Linked DNA regions of Rhinolophus ferrumequinum. The protein of the gene in region 2 binds, or shares a complex with, the protein of the main gene of each other region. Links are inferred from orthologs where the notes say so. Each region holds a gene or a part of one and is shown on either strand. Other genes may lie near its edges. The genes, in order: MATCAP1 and tubulin alpha-1B chain.

Region 1 (9,945 bases), on a different chromosome or scaffold from region 2:
AAGACTCTCCTGGGGTGAATTTGCACCCAAGGACCCAGAGAGTTTCACATGCAAGAGTCCTTACACACACACACACCTCTCCCGAACTTACACTGCCCCCCAGCCCCGAGAGGAGCAGGAACTCTCACACCACCCCCGCCCCACGTTCTGCACACCCATGTCATTTTAATCGTCATGCTGATGTCCTCATCAAAAACCACCTTTTGCCCAGAGCAACAGGATTCTTGATGAAGAGGGACAGACAATAGTAATTAGTGTCCTGTGCTCTCTTCTCCTAAACCTAGCTCTGTGTGTCCTCAGCCAATTCCATTTCCACCCTGGAGGACCTATATGTTGGCTGGGCTAGTGGGACCCTCAGGGTTCTTCCTTTGGCCTGTTGGGGCCCCAGCAGCTTTGTCCCTACAGTCAAGGGAAATCAGAGAGGAAGTGGAGAAAAAGATACCCAAGAAGAGTGAGAGACGAGGGTGAGCCCAGAGAGTGGGCAGGGTTGTTTGGGCCTCCCTCTGTGAGCCAGAGGGAAGAGGTGACTGCTCACAAAGGGAAAGGGCCCATCCTCGAAGGGAAAGGGGAGAAAGACGGGGGGTGGAGTTACTGGGGCCCCTCACTGCCTCCCCCATCCCAGTCCCCTCTCATCCTTACCCACCCACCCACCTACCCACACCCTGACCTATCTCGTGCCGCAGCATGCCCTCCAGCCAATACTGGCGGGCTCCAGTCAGGTTGATGGCCAGTGTTGGTCGGCTATTCTCCACCATCATCACTGCCTGGGACAGCAGGTCTTCACTCAGCTGCACCACAACCTGTAGACAGCAGCAGTGTCCTGAGCCATGGCTACCAACCCTGGGCCAGTGTGCAGGTGGACCCACTAATGCCACAGTGACACCAGGCTGGACACTTGGCCAGGCTACCCACCCTTTACCATCTCTGCTCAGAGCCAGCTCCCACCTTATTGGGGTAGGGACAGGGGCTTGCCAGGGGTCATTAGCTGGCGAGGTATGGAGCTGGGCCTGGCACCACCCACTGGGCAGTCTAGTTTGGGGCGTGTAGAAGAGGGGCCTTGCAGGCAGGGCAAGCTCACCTCCCCAACGCAGCCCTCCTTCTGCATGTATTTGCGCACAATGGACCAGATCTGGCACTTGGTCAGTAGCTGGCCCCCGGTAGCAGCCTCAAAGTGTTCGTAGGTGCCAAACTTCTCCAGGACAGCTTCAATGATGCCAACTGCCTGCACATAGGGCCGCAGTGGCTGGTCAGGCGAGGCCTCGTGGGTGGTCAGGGCCAGGGTAAGGTGGGCAGGCTGACTGACCTGATGGATGAACTGTCCAGAGGCCTCACAGTACTTCTCCAGCACAGCTGTAGGCATCGGCTCCTGGTACTCGAACTGTGGGTTGTAGGTGTAATGGGACTGGAAGAACTTTTTCCGCTCATGGTCCATGTTGGTTGGCCGCAGGGCCACCAACAGGCAGGGGCTCCTGCTGGCACCACGGCCTACCTCCTTTTGAGTCTTAGCTATGTGAGGCAGGGAGGCTGCAGACCGCAGGGTGCTCCCACCTGGATCCCGTCCTCGTCCAGGTAGGGCCCGACCCTGGGTGCTGCCCCCCCGCCGACCAGTACTATTGACGGTGCAGGTGCTCTCACTGCGACGCATGTGGCCACGGCGGCCCAACCGCAGCTCTGGGAAGGACTGCCGCTCAGGCCGGGGCTGCAGGGCTGAGGAGACTGACAGAGCCAGGGGCAAGGCCAGGGACCGAGGCCAGGGGTACAGCGGTGTCCCATCTCGGTCTGAGGGCTTCAGCCTACGGCCCAAGGATGAGGGACTGGCTGGTGGGCTGGGGGGTGCCTGCTCATACACCTGAGCCCCTGAGTCCAGCACCATTCTGTCCTGGGGATCACATCCAGCCTGGTCACTCCAACTCCCCACACTGTCGTCTTCTGGGGACACAGAAGGGCATGTGGAGGACAGCATGAGTGGGTGTGGCCTGAGGACCAGCAGGCCCTGTGCTCCACACTGCCCTTGCTGGGTCCCCAGGAGTCTGGGTGCCTGCCCTCTCAACCCCACCCCAGTGTCCATTCCCTCCAGCAGGCTCACCAAAGCAAGCTGGACTGGGAAAAAGCAGGAGGAAGAATCTTATACATGCACCTAGATGGTGGTTCCAGGAATACCCTTTAGCCTGTGAGGTCCTGATAGCAAGGCCTGAGTCCATACTCATGATTCTAATCACTGTGTTCAGCACTCACCCGGGTTGGAAGCTAGCACAATATAGCCTCAGCTGCTGGGTTGATGGGTGAGGGGAGCCTCACTACCTTCTACCTGCCTTCCACCTATGGCATTTTTCATTTCTACCCCTTCCCTCCCACCTGGTTCCATCCACCTCCTCCAGACCATTTGGCGCCAGTCAGTTTGAATGCCTGCATACCCCTTGCTTATGTTAGTCCCTCCAGCTGGAATGCTTTCTCTCCACTGGGCTATCTGTTCAAATCCAATTTAGAATCAGCTTTTGTGGGGCAGATGGAAACTTCAGCAAATCCAAGCCAATCCCTGGTCTGTCTCCTATCAGAAGCATCTTCCTAGTTGGTCGGGGCACTCATCCCTGACTCTGTACCAGGGCTCAGTCCAATCCAGTCTCTCTCCAGAGACTGACTGAAGGCTCCAGGCTCTGAACTCCCTTGCCTGCTCAGGGACACAATTCCAGCATTTCTCCTCTCCCCTATATCTCCTACATCATCAAACTCTTCCTCTCTGCTGGATTCTTTCCAGCAGTTTATTCTTTCCATCAGCATAAACACATGCTGTCATTTCTCTCTTAAAAAAAACAAAAACAAAACCCTCCCTTGACCCCACACTCCTCCAGCAATAGCACCACCCCCTCTAGCTGCTCCTTACTGCAGCACATGTCAAGAGTCATCTATGCTCATTGTTCATTTCTTTCTTTCCTGTTCTCTCTTAAATTTCACTCCAGTTAGGCTTTCCCCCCCGCCCCATCTCTATTGAAACTGATCTGACCAAGGTCATCAATGATCTTCATGCACTTGACACAGTTAATCGCTTCATCCACTTGGCTCCCCAAATCTCCTACCTCACTGGCTGTTTGTTCTTGCTCTTCCTTGCTGGTCATCCCTGTCTTCCTGACCTCTTAACACTGTAATGCCCCAGGACCTGGAAACTTCTATGGAAACTTCTCTCCCCTTTTCCATTTATGCTCACTCCTTGGGTGATCTCATCCATTCTCAAGGTTTTAAAATCATCAGCCCAGACATCTTCCATAAACTTCAGACCAGTGTTGCCAGTTCTCAATTCAACATCTTTACTGGAATGTATAACAGGCGTGTCAAACTGAACACATCCTCTGTCTGAAATGTTTTCCCTCCATATAATTGCAGGAGTCACTCTCACTTTCTTCTGATTTCTGCACAAATATTAGAAAAGCCTCCCTAACAACAAACACTCTCTATAAAATAGTAAACCTCCTCTCTCCTCTACACCGCAATCTCCCCTTCCCCACAGTATTGTTCTCTGTAGCAGTTGTCACCATCTGAAGTACAGTATATTTGTTAGTTATCTGCTGTTTCCTTGAGTGTTCACTGTGTTTCCAGAACCCAGAATAGTACCTGACCCAAAGCAGTTGCTCAAGAGCCCTTCTGCTTCTCAAAATTGGAATCATTCCTTCCTTGCACTTTGTTTCCCCATCCAGATCTGACCCCCCCACACACTTCCTTCTACCCGCCTAGGGACCAGCTGACTGAAAAGATTTCAGGCCTCAGGCTGCACTCCCCTCAACTAACTACACATTTTCCTGGACTCCTCCAGGGTCTCCTGGCCTCTAACTGGACCAGCCCCCTTCATCTTTCCTCCTTTTCTTTCACCTACCTCTTCATAATTATCAGACTACGCCTGTTTCTTTCATGTCTCAGGTCCTTCTGCCAAGAATGCCCTCCCAATGTCTCCCTGGAGCAAACCTAACCATTTTCAGGGCTTGGTTTAGGCCTCACCTCCTCCGGGAAGCCTTCCAGGCGTCTTAGAGGCTCCCAGTGCCTAGGCGGCCTCTATACCGCCCAAGGCTGTCATTTTCATAGCCTAGGTCCGTGTCCCCCCCACCATCTCCTGAACTCCCTGAGGGCAGGGACGGGTCTGATTCACCCCATCGTCTCAAACATCCAGCACTAGATGCAGAATGAATGAAAGATGGCTGGGGGAGGAACCCAGACTGAAGGCGGAGTCTGGTGACAAATAAGAGGGTGTGGCCTGCGCCAATAGGAAACTCCGGGAGAGGATAACGTGAAAGAGGAGCCAATGGGGATGGGTATATCGAAGAGGGGCGTCACCTACAGCCAATAAACAGAGGGGGATGAGGCAAAGGGCGTGCCGAATGGAGGGCGGGGCCAGAGGACAATGGAGGGGGAATTCCCTGGTAGGTAAGGCGTGGTCGCGTCGCGCGCCTTTTCGGCCTCTAGGGGATGAAAGGGTTCCGTGCCGCACCCCCACCTGTTCGCTGCTCTTTTCGCCGACGCCGTTCCCCCTCTGAAACACCGGTCGCCGGCCTCCCGGCCCGCGGGAGTTCTCGCCGGGGACGCACGCACTCGGGCGCGCGCACGCTCAGCGCGCGGATTCGCGTCAATCTCCGCTGCGGCGCGCGCCCGAGAACACAGCAGGGGGTGGGGCCAGGCAAGGCAGAGAGACGGTGTCCGCCACTAGGTCACGTCCATGGGCTGGGCGTTGTCTTGAGCCCGCCCTCTTCAAGAGGTCCAGGCTGGTTTCAGGGCTTCATTTGGTACCCGGCCTCGGAATCAGGGCCAGGGAGACGAACTCACTGCCCCGGGACGGATACGTGGGGATATAGTCTGCGTACGGTGGCAGAAGCCCGGGCACTGATGCTGGGATAGGTGGTGTACAGCGGGTATACCAGGACTGAAGCCAGGATACCTTAGGCGTGTCACTGCGTGTGGACCCCCCCCTAATCTTCACGGACACTTATTTCAACTTCCTCCCTTCCCCAGCACACACAATTCACGCGTACAGGGGCCGTGGCTTTATTCTGCTGGCAGTCGGGAGTCAGGCACAGGGCCCCGAAGGAAGGCAGGAGGACGGAGCAGGTGTAGGTGCTGGCACGAGGCTGAAGAGAGCGCGGCGACCCGCGGGAGGCGATGGCTGCGGGCCGGCCTGCAGGGAGCTGAGTGCAGCTAGGCGCTGCTCTCGGGACACGTCCCCGCGCAGGTCCAAGAGGGCGGAGACGTGATCCTCACTACGGGGCACCACAGAGATGCGTCAGGCCCGCCCAGCCCCTCCCCGTCCCTCCCAGTTCCCTCCTCCCCTCTCGCGCCCGTCTTCGCACCTCACGTCAGGAAATTGTTGCCGCAGGCCTGCCACCTCCAAGCCAAGCATCGTGGGATCGCGGAGATTCAGCAGCTTTCGCAGAGTGAGTAGCACCGGCGCACATTGAAAGCTTTCCTCCAGGCCCTGAACACGTCGGGGTAGGTCTCGTGCGGGCCCTCGGCTCCGACCCAACCACTGAGATTCCCACCCAACCACAGAGATTCCCACCCATCTGTTCGCCCAACAAGCTCTCACCAAATCGAGGAAGAGATCTCGGAGCTGCATGGCATCGTGCTGCAGGCGCTCGGCAGCCTGGTTCCGCTCATCGGCACCACGGCACACCAGGCGGCCCTGCATTAGCGCACACAGGTACTGCAGCACCACGGTACGCTCAGCCTCGGCCAGCAGCAGCTGCGGGGAGGGCAATCAGGTGGGTCCTGGACCCCTTTCCCATTGGATCTCCCCCCTCACCCTCCTTACCCCAAGTCGCACCTGGACAGCGGGATTCCGCACACGCCAAAAATCCCGGCAGAAGCGCGCCGTCCTCTCGCACACATCATCCAGCAGCTCCGGGCTCGACAGCCATTGGCGCGAGGGCAGAGCCATGAACAGGGGCTAGGGGATGGGGACAGAGGCGGGACTGGAAGGCCGATGCAGATCCCGTATTCCACGTAGAGACCTCCGTACATACGCTGTATCTCCTCCCACCCCACCTGGAACCTCACCTGTAGCTCCACCAGCAGTGCCTCCAACACCAGGCGACATATCCTCCTCTGCAACTCCTCCAGCGCTGCCTCCACCGGAGCCAAGGCTCCTAAAGCCACCCCGTCGGGCTGCAAGACCGACACGGAGGAGCTGGACCAACCAAAAGTACGGCTTCAGGACCAAGGCCAAGGCCCTAACGGACCTTCGTTGTCCAGCCGCTCGGGCGCCACCTAGTGGCGCAAGTTTGTGGAGGGAGGGGGCAAGAAGGGCGGTTCCCCGCGCTTTCTGAAGGTCTGGGGTGTCGACTAAAGCATGGAGTGGTAGGCTCAGTGAGCTGGCAGGGACACAACCCAGACGGCCCAGCCTCTAATTCGTGGTGTGACCTTGAGCAAGTCATGTCTTTCAGTTTCTGTTGACTCCTCCGTAAGGGGAGAGAGTTTATCCCAGTCAGGAGGGAGTAAAAATTAGCAACTTGTTTGTCTGCTCTCTCTGCCCCCATCCCAAAGAACGTAAGACCCACGAGGAAGGGATTTTTTTTCTGTTTTGTTCACTGCTGTAACCCCAGACATTATCTGGCACAGAGTAGGAGCTGGTAAGTATATGTTAATATGTTAATAAATGAATGCTTGAGACTATGTGCCAGGCATTGTATTGTGGTAGGTACTTTACATCTGTTATTGCATGTGATTCTTACCCATATAATATAATATAATATAATATAATATAATATAATATAATATAATATAATACTAATAAGAAAAGTGACATTCAGAGAGATTTGGTAACTCGCCCAACGTCACACAGCTAGTAATTAGTAGAACTGGGATTGGAACCCCAGAGCTATGTGAGTCCAAAGTTCCTAATGGCCCAGTGTGGCTGGATAGGTACCTAATAGATATTCAGTCAGGGGTTAGTGAAGGTGGCATTCTGTGGGAGACTTCTGGTACCTGAGTGCTGATTGGTGGTTGAGGGCAGCCAGTAGGTAGGACACGTAATGAGGGGCCATTGCTTCCCCTCTGAGGTGGTCTCGGGAGAATCGAATCAGGGCATCACTGAAGCTGCAAAGGGCAGAGGTGGCTTTTGTACCTGCTGTCATTCTGGCGCCCCAACAACCTCTGTTCCGGGTACTCTAGCCCCACCTCCAAGATACTCAAGGCCCTGTTTGAAGGAGCCTTTTCCCACTGGCGGGCCTTATTCACTCGGAGCCCCTTTGGGCTGCCCCAGGAGCAAGACCAGGTGTTGGGAATGGATCAGTGCCTTGGCAGACCTTCTCAGGAATGCTCCCAGTTCTGACAGTGCCATGCCATGCACCCGCCGCTGCAGTGACTCACTGACCAGGCTGCTTACTCGAATGTTCTCTTCCAGGATCTACAGGCAGGAATGGGCAGCCATTAGCAGAGTCCTAGTCCTGCCCTCCTCCCCTTTCCCTATGGGAGCTGCCCACCTGCCCGCCACTTCCCACTCACCTGAAGCACGATGGCTGGCATTGGTGAGTGGTAAAAGCCAGATGGGTCTGTGTCAGGCTCCTGCTCCCGGCCCCACTCAGCTACTTCCCCATCCAGTGCTTTCTGCAGCCACTGCACCACATTTGCCTGGGGGAAGGGATGAGGGGCAGCAGGATATAGCAGGGCACTGACCCTGCTAGAGACAGTTAGACATGTGACTTTGCAAATACAGGCACACAACTGGTAGCAGAGCTTCTCTGGACCTGGGCCCCAACTACTCACCTGGACTTTGGACACAAATGTTGCCTCAAGCTGCTCAATATTCTCCAGGGTCAGGAGGGGCTCCAGCTGAGACACGTCAGCCTCAGGCCCCAAGTCCAGGCTCCCCATCATTTCTGGCCTGGTGATAGGTGGCCAGTGTCACACTGAGCCTGCAGCTTCCGATCCACCCACTTCCCATTGCCCAAAGCGCACTGACCCCAGGTACACATGTAGTGCCCAGTGCAGTAAGGTGAAGGCATCAGCAGCTCCCAGCTCAGGCCCTTCCAGGAATTGCTGTAGGCAGCGGCGCAGGCCACTATGCAGGGTGTGGGCCCATAGCTGGACCACCCTGTAGTGCGGTGGGCAGCAGGGTGCTATTAGTGCCTCAGCTCTGGCCAACTCGGCTGGTAGAGCCACCCGCAGAGCCTCCAGCCACCCTGCTAGGGCCCCTGGCCCAGGCAGCAGATGTGTCCCAAAGTGGACCTGCTCCAGGCCCTCCTGTAGTGCCCGCAGACAGCGCTGCCGCCAGTCCCGGGGGGCTTGCTCCAGGGAGGTTGTGCGGCCCGTCTCCACCTCCGCCACACGCACAGCAGCCACCAGCAGGGCTGGGTCCTCCCGTGCCAGCTGTCCTGCGGCCCCTACAGCCGCCTCCACAGCCTGGCCCAGTGCCTCCGACAGAGGGCCCAACCCCTCGAAGATTGGCAACTCCAGGTGCCCCAGAGATGCCCATGTCTCCTCTTGCAGCTGCTCAAGCTCCCGAAGGCTCACATATGCCTCCAAGAGCCGTTGGGCATCAATCAAGGACTGTGTGTGGGCCACTGCAGCTGGCACTAAGGAGGGAAAAGAGGAGACCGCCCTGGGTCTCAGCCTTCCCACCTGTGCAATGGATACAGGATCAGATGCGGAGGTCCTGGGGCTGGGATCATGTGTAAAATATTTAATAACCAGTATAGTAGAGCATTAGCCAATCTGAAAGGATCCACGGAAGGTCCTAGAGGCCTGGTGGGCCAGGGGTAAACCCTTGAGCTAAAGGAACATGAGGAAGTCAGGGATCCTGGAAAGAAGGCAGAGAAGAACTGGAGGATCATTCTAATGGCTATTCACCCACTCTGTTAGGGAAATATTTCAATTTAACAACAAGGATGGCCAGAGCCACTTGACTGGGTGTCCTTTCTGACTCAGACATCCCATGCTCAGGAACACCAGAATGAGCTAATTTGCACCCTGCTTCATATGCCATCTGAAGCCTGAGTTACTTTCTGGGAGGTTCCTGGTGTGGCCCGCCACGCAATCTCCCACTAGTGTCCCAGCCCCTTGATGGGTGTTGACTGACTATTGGATGGTTGAGGCCCAGGGCCCCTGCATACTCACCTGCCTGCAGCCGGGGCAGCAGCTGAGACAGGGCCTGCAGTTGTTTGTGCTGGCTGACCTGCTCCCGCAGGGGCTCTAGTGCCTGTACAGTCTCGACCATGCCCCGGAGCAACCCATGGGCCTGGCCCAGGGCCTCACGGGCTTCCTGCATGGCCTCAAGGCCCTGGGCCAGCTGCCACACACCAGTCTTCACACCCTCCAGGTATGACTGCACCACTGACTGTGGGAGGGAGGCAGCCAATGAGGCCTGGCCAGCCCTGCCGCCCACCCCCAGCACTCTTGCCCCCTGCCTGATGCCCACCTTCATGCGTGCTTCCAGGGAGCAGGTACGCTGCACCTCACGGCTGCGGTACTGGCCCAATCTGGCCAGCTGCTCCGGCCGGTAGAAAATGCCTGAGGCCCACTTGAGTGCTGCACCCCGGGCTAGCCGCTCCGCCCTCTCCTGCTCCGGCCACTCAGGCCCTGGGCAGGAAGAGCCTGGGCAGCCATGTCAGTTGGGCAGGGCCTGAAGGAAGCAGCTGCCGAACCTGCTCCCCTTCCTGCTCTTTAGTCTGGCCCCCAGGGTGGTCCACTCATCTCACTGACCCATAGAGCTCCAGCCAGACTTGGCAAGGACCCAACCCCACCATTCCCCTCTTTCTTGCCACATCCCTCTCCCAACCCACCCGGAAGGTCTCATACCAGGGAGAAGTGCAGGCTGCATTTCGTTCTTGGTTGTTGAGTCCATGGCAGGCCCCGCAGGAGCTGGAGCTGAGGTGGGAGTCGGGGCAAGAATGTGGGTTAGAGCAGGCAGAGTGGATGCTCCTTTGAGATGCAGGTTCTCCCTAGGCCCCTCCAAGGAGGAAGAGGGAGGTT
Region 2 (9,466 bases):
TAGGCCTATGGTGCCACACAACAGAGCTTTTTCCCAAATGTCTTGCCAAATGCGATTTCCTTTCAGGAGCCAAGAACTGTTTTGTAAATACCAGGAGTGCCAAACAAATGTACACAAGTGGACACTTTGGTCAACATTGCTCAAGCAGTTTGCTGTAATCAGAAGTGTCTGGACGCTGATGGTGACCACTTTGAGCACCTCTTGTAATTACATAAGTCAAACATGGACTTGCATTCATCTTTTATCAGTATAATTCTTTCCTTTCTTAAAAATGTGTATATAATTTTTTTGGCACCCTCTGTGTATAGTATTTATGGGCTAGGAGAAAACCTGGGAAAATTTTGCTCTTCCCTACTTTTAAACCACAAGACATCAATATGTTCAACAAACCTTAACTATCCTTAATGCTTTCTGAATTGGAAATGTATTTTCCCATAAGTTAAACCCATTTGTCTCTCTCTACATTCTTTTAGATATAGCCAAACTACATACTTGAAAGAAGGTAAGCTATGCCAAGTGCTATATACTTTCATCTTAACCTTTACAATGTTCACTTTATCCCCTTGTAAAAGCAGTATTCTTCCACAAATGCACATGGCTTTTTGACAGTCATGTTTGCAAGAGAGTCAAATCGACTTACAGGCGTACCGTGGAGATACTGGGCATCTGGTTCTAGAATACAATAGAGTATTCCAATAAAGTTGTAATCTTTTGGTAGTGGAGTCTTGCTTTCAATATGTAAAAAACACATCTGTGAAGTGCAATAAAACAAGCTATGCCTGTCCTTATTCCTAATTAACTACCCAATAACCTAAAGACCTAGATTAGCAGAACCACTTTCAGTACATCATTTTCCCAAGTCCCCTATGACCTGGATTCTAACACTGACAGAGTCGACATTAACAGATGTGTCAGAATCCAGCTCTCCTGCTTTTAGAGATGAGTGTGTGCTCCCTTGTTCTCCAGAAGTAGCTGAACAGAAGTGGGATCCTTGCTGAACACCCTGTTATAGTCTCTTATCCTCCAAGTGTAGAGAAGTCAATTTAGAAAAAGTACAAAGTCACTTTTTTTCTCAATGCCTTTACTTCGAGACATGAGGGAAAAAATCTTGTAGATACACATTAAAAAGACACACATGATCACAGGTAAAAGCAGACAATCTATTGAGAAAGCTTTAACGCCTGTCAGTTTGAAGCTAAAGTTCCGAGTATGACATGTTGCAGGGATGCAAGGAATGGTAACTAGTATTCCTCTCCTTCTTCCTCACCCTCTCCTTCAACAGAATCCACACCAACCTCCTCATAATCCTTCTCAAGGGCAGCCATGTCCTCACGGGCCTCAGAAAACTCTCCTTCCTCCATACCCTCACCCACATACCAGTGAACAAAGGCACGCTTGGCATACATCAGGTCAAACTTGTGGTCCAGGCGGGCCCAGGCCTCAGCGATAGCTGTGGTGTTGCTCAGCATGCACACAGCTCGCTGTACTTTGGCCAGGTCTCCACCAGGTACCACAGTGGGAGGCTGGTAATTAATGCCAACTTTGAAGCCAGTGGGACACCAGTCCACAAACTGGATGCTGCGCTTGGTCTTGATGGTGGCAATGGCGGCATTGACATCTTTGGGAACCACGTCACCACGGTACAACAGGCAGCAAGCCATGTATTTACCGTGGCGAGGGTCACATTTCACCATCTGGTTGGCTGGCTCAAAGCACGCATTGGTGATCTCTGCTACAGAAAGTTGCTCGTGGTAGGCTTTCTCAGCAGAGATGACAGGGGCATATGTGGCCAGAGGGAAGTGGATGCGGGGATAGGGCACCAGGTTGGTCTGGAATTCAGTCAGGTCAACATTCAGGGCTCCATCAAATCTGAGGGAAGCAGTGATGGAGGACACAATCTGGCTAATAAGGCGGTTAAGGTTAGTGTAGGTTGGGCGCTCAATATCGAGGTTTCTACGACAGATGTCATAGATGGCCTCATTGTCAACCATGAAGGCACAATCAGAGTGCTCCAGGGTGGTGTGGGTGGTGAGGATGGAGTTGTAGGGCTCAACTACGGCTGTGGAAACCTGGGGGGCTGGGTAAATGGAGAACTCCAGCTTGGATTTCTTGCCATAATCGACAGAGAGACGTTCCATCAGCAGGGAGGTGAACCCAGAACCAGTTCCCCCACCAAAGCTGTGGAAAACCAGGAAGCCCTGAAGACCTGTGCACTGGTCGGCCTGTGAAGGAAGTAAAAAGAAAACGTAATTCTTCAACATCGGATACTTTTCAATTAATACAGTGAGCAGTGTATCTCACATTTGGGCATGCACCAAAGAAGGAATGCTATAGTTTGGTCTCTTCACTAAACTTGCAATGAATCACCTCACCCCATTTGAAGTATATTTCAAACTGGTACTCACCAGCTTCCGAATCCGGTCCAAGACGAGGTCAATGATCTCCTTGCCAATGGTGTAGTGCCCCCGCGCGTAGTTATTGGCAGCATCTTCCTTGCCTGTGATGAGCTGCTCGGGGTGGAAGAGCTGGCGGTAGGTGCCAGTGCGAACTTCATCTGGGAAAGGGAAACAAAGCGGCCACCCATCACTAACAACCCGCACAAGCTGCCCAACCCCAGGGCATCCACAGAGCCCCCAGGACACACATCCTGTCCCAGACCCCTGGGATCTCACTTGGGTTACGGAGGTCAACTCACCAATGACCGTGGGTTCCAGGTCTACAAACACTGCCCTGGGCACGTGCTTGCCAGCGCCTGTCTCACTGAAGAAGGTGTTGAAGGAGTCATCTCCTCCTCCAATGGTCTTGTCACTTGGCATCTGGCCATCGGGCTGGATGCCATGTTCCAGGCAGTAGAGCTCCCAGCAGGCATTGCCGATCTGGACACCAGCCTGGCCAACGTGGATGGAGATGCACTCACGCTGTGGAAAAAAGAGAAAAAAAATCAGGATTAAACAAATCTAGCAGTGACTATAAAGCAGAACAAAATACTCATGGAATCTTAACCTTACAAATGTTCTTTTTTAAAATGAATTAAAATGTAACTTTTTTCCTAAAGGAGAACCACTGTACTTTGCTTTTAATGAATTTCTTTTCCTCATCTAAATTGGGAAGGCCTCTTCCGAAACCAAGAAGAGACCTTAGTCACAGCTTCTTTCTTTGAAGGACCAAGATAGAGAGGCCATCCATCTCGCGCTTAGGCCGCAAAATCCCATTTTGGACTAGGTGGCCAGATTTCCGGGCAGGTTCCAGCACAGGAAGCACGTGGCCAGAGCAGTGCAGAGGAAATGTCTGGCCCCAGTGACGAGGGGAGGGGCTCTGCGGCACAGGATGAATGAGCAATTCAGGGTGCGCGCTCCAACCCTGAGGCCAGCAGGCCAGCGGAGCCGCGCAGTTGAAGAGGCACGAAACAGCCACGTCAGCCAGCGAAGGCCAACCATCCTCAGCTTCCCCCAGGCGTTGGGCTCAGCCCAGCACCTCCACATCTGTCAAGACACACAGCAAGGGATTATCTTCGGTCCAGATGTGGACCATGATCGGATTTACATTCTCTCAAAAATCCCTCATCGCCACCACCTGTTCCCACACACACATTCCTAACGCAGCAAAGAGGCCATCGAGGGGCAGGCAGATGGCCTCTACGGGCTGTTGGGAGCTAACTGTCCCAATATACTGGCATAGTGCAGCACACAGAGAAAGAGCCTTTCTCTACATTTATCTTATTGCTTTCATTTTAAAAAACGAAAACTCAGGGTAAGAGGAGACACGCCCTCCAGCTATAGACCCGCAGCGCCGCAGCGCGCACGCGCAGATTGCAGTGGCGGCCTCCCGCCACTCCCCGGCGGGACGGTAACTGTTGCGCGTGCGCTTTTGTGTCAGGCTCCTTCCCGCCTCCGCTTTTCGCGCCCAGGAGGAAGTGAGGGCGGGGAGAGCCCGCGCGCGCGACCGCCTAAGGCGGGGGTGGGGGGGGTAAGAAAAAGGGGATGAGAACGCGCGGGAAGACTGCAGGGTTGGGTCGCTGCGCCCTCGAGTTAAGGGCTAAATAAGAGCCCTAACCACGGTGGAGGGAGCCAGCGCCCCGCAATCCCCTCCCAGAGTCCAAGAAAAGGTGGCGATCCACCTCCTTCCGCCGTTCTCCACAAAACGGGCTCGATCTACTCCCACCCTCGCCTCTCCCCTTGCTTTTTGCCTTCCAAATGGACAGCGCTGGTCCCAGTTCTCTATAGTTAAAGGACCTCCGAGATCCCTTGGCTTGCTTTTCCCCGACTTCCCGAGCGACGGCGACGCCGCGCGCGGCCCACTCACCATGTCTACGGGTTAGCAGGCGCAGGTAACAGGAGTAGACACCGGATACCGGTTACTGTCCCCGACAAGCTAAGAGTCGAGGTAAGTAACGCACTGAGGCGGGGGAGGTGCCCGAGCTACTTAAGTAGCGGTCCGGGGTGGGGCGGACAGGCACAGGCGGTGCCAAGGCCACTGGCCCCACCCCCGGCCCAGCGCGCCCATTCGGTGCCGGGCTCCGCCGCCGCAGAGGCGGGCTCCAAAGCGGGGGTCCCCTCCCCGTGCCGGCCCTGAGGGGCGGGGGCCTCCGCGCCTGCGGGCCGCGAGCTCTGGTGCTGCAGTCTGCGGCGCATGGCTGCTGGGGCCTCGGAGGGGAGGGGTGGGGTGGGGTGGGGTGGGGTGGGATGGGGGCGCGTTCGGAAACAAACCATCCTGGGAATGGGAGAGGAGGCTTAGTTTGGACGAAACCTATGACTTAAGGAGTCTATACAATTTTAAATAGGAAGCACGATGAAATGCAGAAACGTGTGGTCCGGATAGCTCAGCTGATTATTTTCATGCTGGCACAATTTGTCAGTGAGTTTTGCCTTTTCCTTTTCTCAGCTCCTTTAAAGGCAGTGCGTTCTGTTCTTCCATGATAATGCGGAGGATGCGGGGTTTAGAAAACAGGATAGTTTTATTTGGTTTACTGTAATGACTTGTTCTTTGAATTAAAGTTACCAAACGTTGGAAGCAAAAAACAGTCATAAAAAGAGTATTAACTAAGCACTGAACATCCAAACTGTTAAAGGAGCCCCATTTTTAGACCTCAACCACCGCCTTTATGGTACAACCCTAGGGGGCTTTTAAAAAGGAGATTTAAAGACACATTTCAAATTTGGTAGCAGAATTGTAGAAGTGAAGACAGAAACTTGGCTAATAATGAAATTGACACAGAAAGATATTAGGAAGTAGGGGTTCCTTGGGTTTTGTAAAACTTTATTTAATAATTACTTTCTGTTATGTTAAAATAGATCAGTTGGTTATAACTTATTGCTAGGAGGCCCAGATTATAGTGAAGAGACTTTTTTCCCTCCCCTTTCAGGAAAATTTATTCCAAGACCATAAACTACATTTCTAACCCTTGGAAATACATAAGGAGGTTAGTTTAAGGTTAAAGTGTGGCTCTAACAGAAACTTATTACTGTTTTTAACTATTCAAAATGCCCCCCCCCCCCGTGATAGTGTGTTAGTAACAAAAAAGGTAAACATAAGAATAAAATTTCATACTTCATATTCAGATTTGGTAAAGTCTTCATTCTTCATATCAGAGAAATAAATTTACACTGTTAATATGTGTGTGTGGTTTGTAAGAATGTGTGTGTGTGTATAAATTTTTTTTCTCCACTCAGATTCATATGAACCTTGAATGCAAACAAGGAGGGTCTTATTTATTTCTAATAAATATTTTTTTTTTGTAGTCCTGTTAAAAGGTTTTTGACTCAGAACCCAAATTTGCACACATTTCCCAAACTGGGTTATAGGGGACAGCAATATATTTGAATAATGTCTCACTTATTCTTGACATACAATATCCTATTAGTTTCAGGTTGTCTCACGTATTAGTTTTTAAAAATTATTTCTCTCATTCTTAAAAGGAGATGGAAATACAAGCATACATTTTATTGTGCTTTGCTTTATTGTGCTTTACAGATACTGCATTTTTTTAACAAATTAAAGGCAGTACTCTTCACTGGCAAGAAGAGATACTGCAGTATCTCTAAGGAATGCTTGTCATTAGCTTGCCTTAACGGGAAGAATGAATGTTAGGGAACCACCCAGTTGAACTCCATTTTGCTGACTGCTCTGGATGAAAGCCATTTGGAAGCAGGCACCTCCCTCCTCCTAGCCCTCTGCAGGACCTTAGCGCTTTCACTGCAGAGATTTGCTCCTGAGGGCCTATATGTCTCCCCAGATACCCTCCTAAAACCATTAGCTTTTGCTAGCCTTGTTATCTGTGAATTCCTCTGTTGTGAATGCGGAAGCAAGTGAGGGTTTTTTTTTTTTTTTTTGGTAGGTCCCTGATGTTACTTCAGATTTCAGAGAGTAACAGAGCCAAAGGGACCTTTAAATATAGTCTGGTATCTTTATGCCAGAAAAATGTTGAATAATGCTAGGTAAGTTAACTAATTTTACTACCTTTTTAGTACTGGAGAGAAAAGGCTGACATTTTTTTCCTTTTTACCCGTACTAAACTTTCATGGGTCTATTTGTTTATGTTACATACGGATATATCACTTTGTCTATATTTGTCTATATTAAATATTAGTTATCTATTGCTAGAATATAAATGCAGTATTACACAACGTCTTAACATTTTAACTGATTATATAGGTCTTTCTTTTGCTGGACTGTTTCAGGGCCTGTAACTATTTGCTTTGAGTCTTTTGATGTATTGGGAGACCCTGTGTGGCCATTTGAGCCCCTCCCATCTTTGCTACTTAATATCTGGCCATTTGCTACTGTTCTAAGCAGTCAGTAACATTTTTGATCAGTCCATATTGTGGTTTAGACACAAAAGTTTACAAAATATTTTGTTCATTTAGCCAATTCTACAAGGAAAGACACAAATAACAATTAGCAACAACTTACCAAGCATCAACTATTTTCAAACATTTAGCCTTTTATTTTTATCACAGTATCATAAATTTATATATGCTATTTTGTGTTCTGTTATTCCACAGATAGATGGTATAGGGGAAAGAAAATGGGCTTTGATTTGAGACAGTACTAGATTCAGTTCTAGCTGTGTCAGTTAATGATATGTCAGTTAATGATTTGTCAGTATGATTTTAGGCTCCTAATTATCTTTTTTGAGCTTCCTTTATGAATGGGAATCAATATTAGCTTGGAATCATCTTTTTCTCATACTGTCACATTCAATCCCATTAGTAAATTCTATCAGTTTTATCTTTAAACTATGCCCATCACTTTTTTTTATCACATCACCTTATTTCATAGCGTTTATAGAATCTGAAATTACCTTGTTTGTGTATTTATTTACTTATTTAATATTCTCTCCTAATTAGAATGAAGCTCCATTCTGTTTTTGTGGAAGTCAGTCTTAATTGCCCCTCCAAAACCACCTTCTTACATTCTTCTTTGCCAAGAGAGCCTTTTTTTTTTTTTTAAAGGGGTAGTCATGTGCTCAATCTCAGGGGACAAATCCAGGAAACCCTGTTTCCCTTTGCCAGGTACTTGCTTTCTCATTCTCCTTCATCATTGGACCCACTTGTGGCCAGTGTCACATAAAGGGAAGTCTGCTAGGGTGTTTCTGGGGATGGTTTTCCTCCCTGATCAAAAGAGTGAACCCTTGTATAAAGTCCTTTTATTTCACTCCTCTTCCTTGCTTTTGGAAATGTTCTGTGAAGATATGACGCCTGGAACCAACTTAAGACCTTGAGGGTCTTAGTGTAAAGAGAATAAAAGAAATGCCAACTTAGTGCTATGACACTGTGAAACTGCTGAGCGAATCTTAAAACCACCTATCTCCAGATTTATTATTACATAGTAGGTGCTTAATATGTAATTTGTTGTCGAATGTTGAACTTGGTGATTGATTGGACATGGGGTGTGAGGGAAACTGAAGAATGGGGGTTAATTTTCAGGTTTTTGGTTTAAATAACTGATCAAATGGTGGTGTTTTTTACTGAGATCAGAATACTGAAGGAAGAAATGGATGGGAACTGAAGAAAGGAAACGGGAGAAGCTAATAGTTCAGCTTTTGACACACTTTGAGTTTAAGTGTCTGTGGTACATACAGAGGGTACCAAAAAAATGTACACATTTTAAGAAAGGAAAAAACTGTATTAAAATTGTAATATTCAATATATACCGTGTTTCTCTAAAAATAAGACCTAGCCGAACAATCAGCTCTAATGCGTCTTTTGGAGCAAAAATTAATATAACAATTAATATAAGACTGGATCTTATATTAATTTTTGCTCCAAAAGACGCAGTAGAGGGGCCAGCCCAGTGGCTCAGGCAGTTGGAGCTCCGTGCTCCTAACTCCGAAGGCTGCCTATTCGATTCCCACATGGGCCAGTGGGTTCTCAACCACAAGGTTGCTGGTTTGACTCTGGCAAGGGATGGTGGGCTGCGCCCCCTGTAACTAGCAACAGCATCTGGACCTGGAGCTGAGCTGTGCCCTCCACAGCTAAGACTGAAAGGACAACTTGACTTGGAAAAAAGTCCTGGAAGCACACACTGTTCCCCAATAAAGTCCTGTTTCCCTTCCCCAATAAAATCTTTAAAAAAAAAAAAAAAAAAAAAAAAGACACATTAGAGCTGATTGTCTGGCTAGGTCATATTTTTTGGGAAACACGGTACTGATAATAAAATGAATACAAGTCATGTGTATACATTTTTTTGGCACCCCTGGTATATCCAGAGATGTCCATTAGTCAGTTATATATGCAGATGTGGAGAGAGGAGAAGAGATACAGATTTCAGATTCTTTGAGATTTAATGATAATTAAACAATGGTAATAGATAAGACTACTGAGTTGGATATGAGTTGGAAGAGAATTGCAGTAATGTAGATAAGAGGTAATAGTTGCTTGGACCAGGGTGGACCAGTGGTGGAGGTGGTAAAAAGTGGTGGGTTTCTGGATATATTTTGAAGGTAGTGGTGACAGGGTTTATTAATTCATTGGATGTAAGGTGAGAAAGACAGGAGTCAATCATGACCCCAAGGTTTTTGGCCTGAGCAACACGGGAATACTGAAGGAAGAACAGGTCTATGGAAATGGAAGAAATCAAAAGTTCAATTTTGGACATGTTAAGTTTGAGATGCGGTGTGTTAGACATTTAAGTAGAACATGTATTCTTTGATAAATATTTAAAATTAATACAGCAGTCTTCCTTATCTGCGGTTTCGCTTTCTGCAGATTCAGTTATCCACTGTCAACACATCACCGAAGAAGAGTGAGTACAGCACAATAAGATATTTTGAGAGAGACCACTTTCACATAACTTTTATTACAGTAGTATATTGTTATAATTGTTCTACTTTATCATTAACTATTGCTGTTGATCTCTTAATGCCTAATTTATAAATCATAGATTTGTATGTATGTATAAACAAAAATATAGTATATATAGAGTTTGGTATTGTCTGCGATTTCGGGTATCCACTAGGGGTCTTGGA

Evidence for each region.
Region 1: the proteins of tubulin alpha-1B chain (region 2) and MATCAP1 are in contact, whole or in part, in a cryo-EM structure (PDB 7Z6S), measured with the Homo sapiens proteins. The link is inferred for Rhinolophus ferrumequinum from reciprocal best matches to the Homo sapiens genes TUBA1B and MATCAP1. Residues at the interface, in NP_006073.2 of Homo sapiens: Asp345, Trp346, Arg422, Glu423, Ala426, Ala427, Glu429, Lys430, Asp431, Glu433, Glu434, Val435, Gly436, Val437, Asp438, Ser439, Val440, Glu441; in NP_001035805.1 of Homo sapiens: Lys219, Cys220, Trp223, Val226, Arg227, Gly237, Glu238, Val239, Val240, Val241, Gln242, Leu243, Met253, Met254, Val255, Glu256, Asn257, Ser258, Arg259, Pro260, Thr261.

What each region holds. Positions count from the first base shown.
Region 1 is NC_046298.1:16,914,811-16,924,755, forward strand, and holds the start of MATCAP1 (microtubule-associated tyrosine carboxypeptidase 1), read right to left. Parts: upstream 4,859-9,945; 5' UTR 4,481-4,858; intron 4,399-4,480; exon of another isoform or gene 3,866-4,398; intron 1,930-3,865; exon of another isoform or gene 1,927-1,929; 5' UTR 1,874-1,926; coding exon 1,304-1,873; intron 1,223-1,303; coding exon 1,079-1,222; intron 801-1,078; coding exon 668-800; intron 1-667. Other genes in the region: EXOC3L1 (exocyst complex component 3-like protein), read right to left, coding at 5,048-5,237, 5,328-5,452, 5,564-5,719, 5,801-5,923, 6,034-6,163, 6,961-7,071, 7,281-7,381, 7,480-7,605 and 5 more. UniProt on the Homo sapiens protein: Tyrosine carboxypeptidase that removes the C-terminal tyrosine residue of alpha-tubulin, thereby regulating microtubule dynamics and function. Also able to remove the C-terminal phenylalanine residue of alpha-tubulin TUBA8.
Region 2 is NC_046293.1:50,175,922-50,185,387, forward strand, and holds tubulin alpha-1B chain, read right to left. Parts: upstream 4,452-9,466; 5' UTR 4,306-4,451; coding exon 4,303-4,305; intron 2,919-4,302; coding exon 2,696-2,918; intron 2,555-2,695; coding exon 2,406-2,554; intron 2,223-2,405; coding exon 1,242-2,222; 3' UTR 1,159-1,241; downstream 1-1,158. UniProt on the Homo sapiens protein: Tubulin is the major constituent of microtubules, protein filaments consisting of alpha- and beta-tubulin heterodimers. Microtubules grow by the addition of GTP-tubulin dimers to the microtubule end, where a stabilizing cap forms.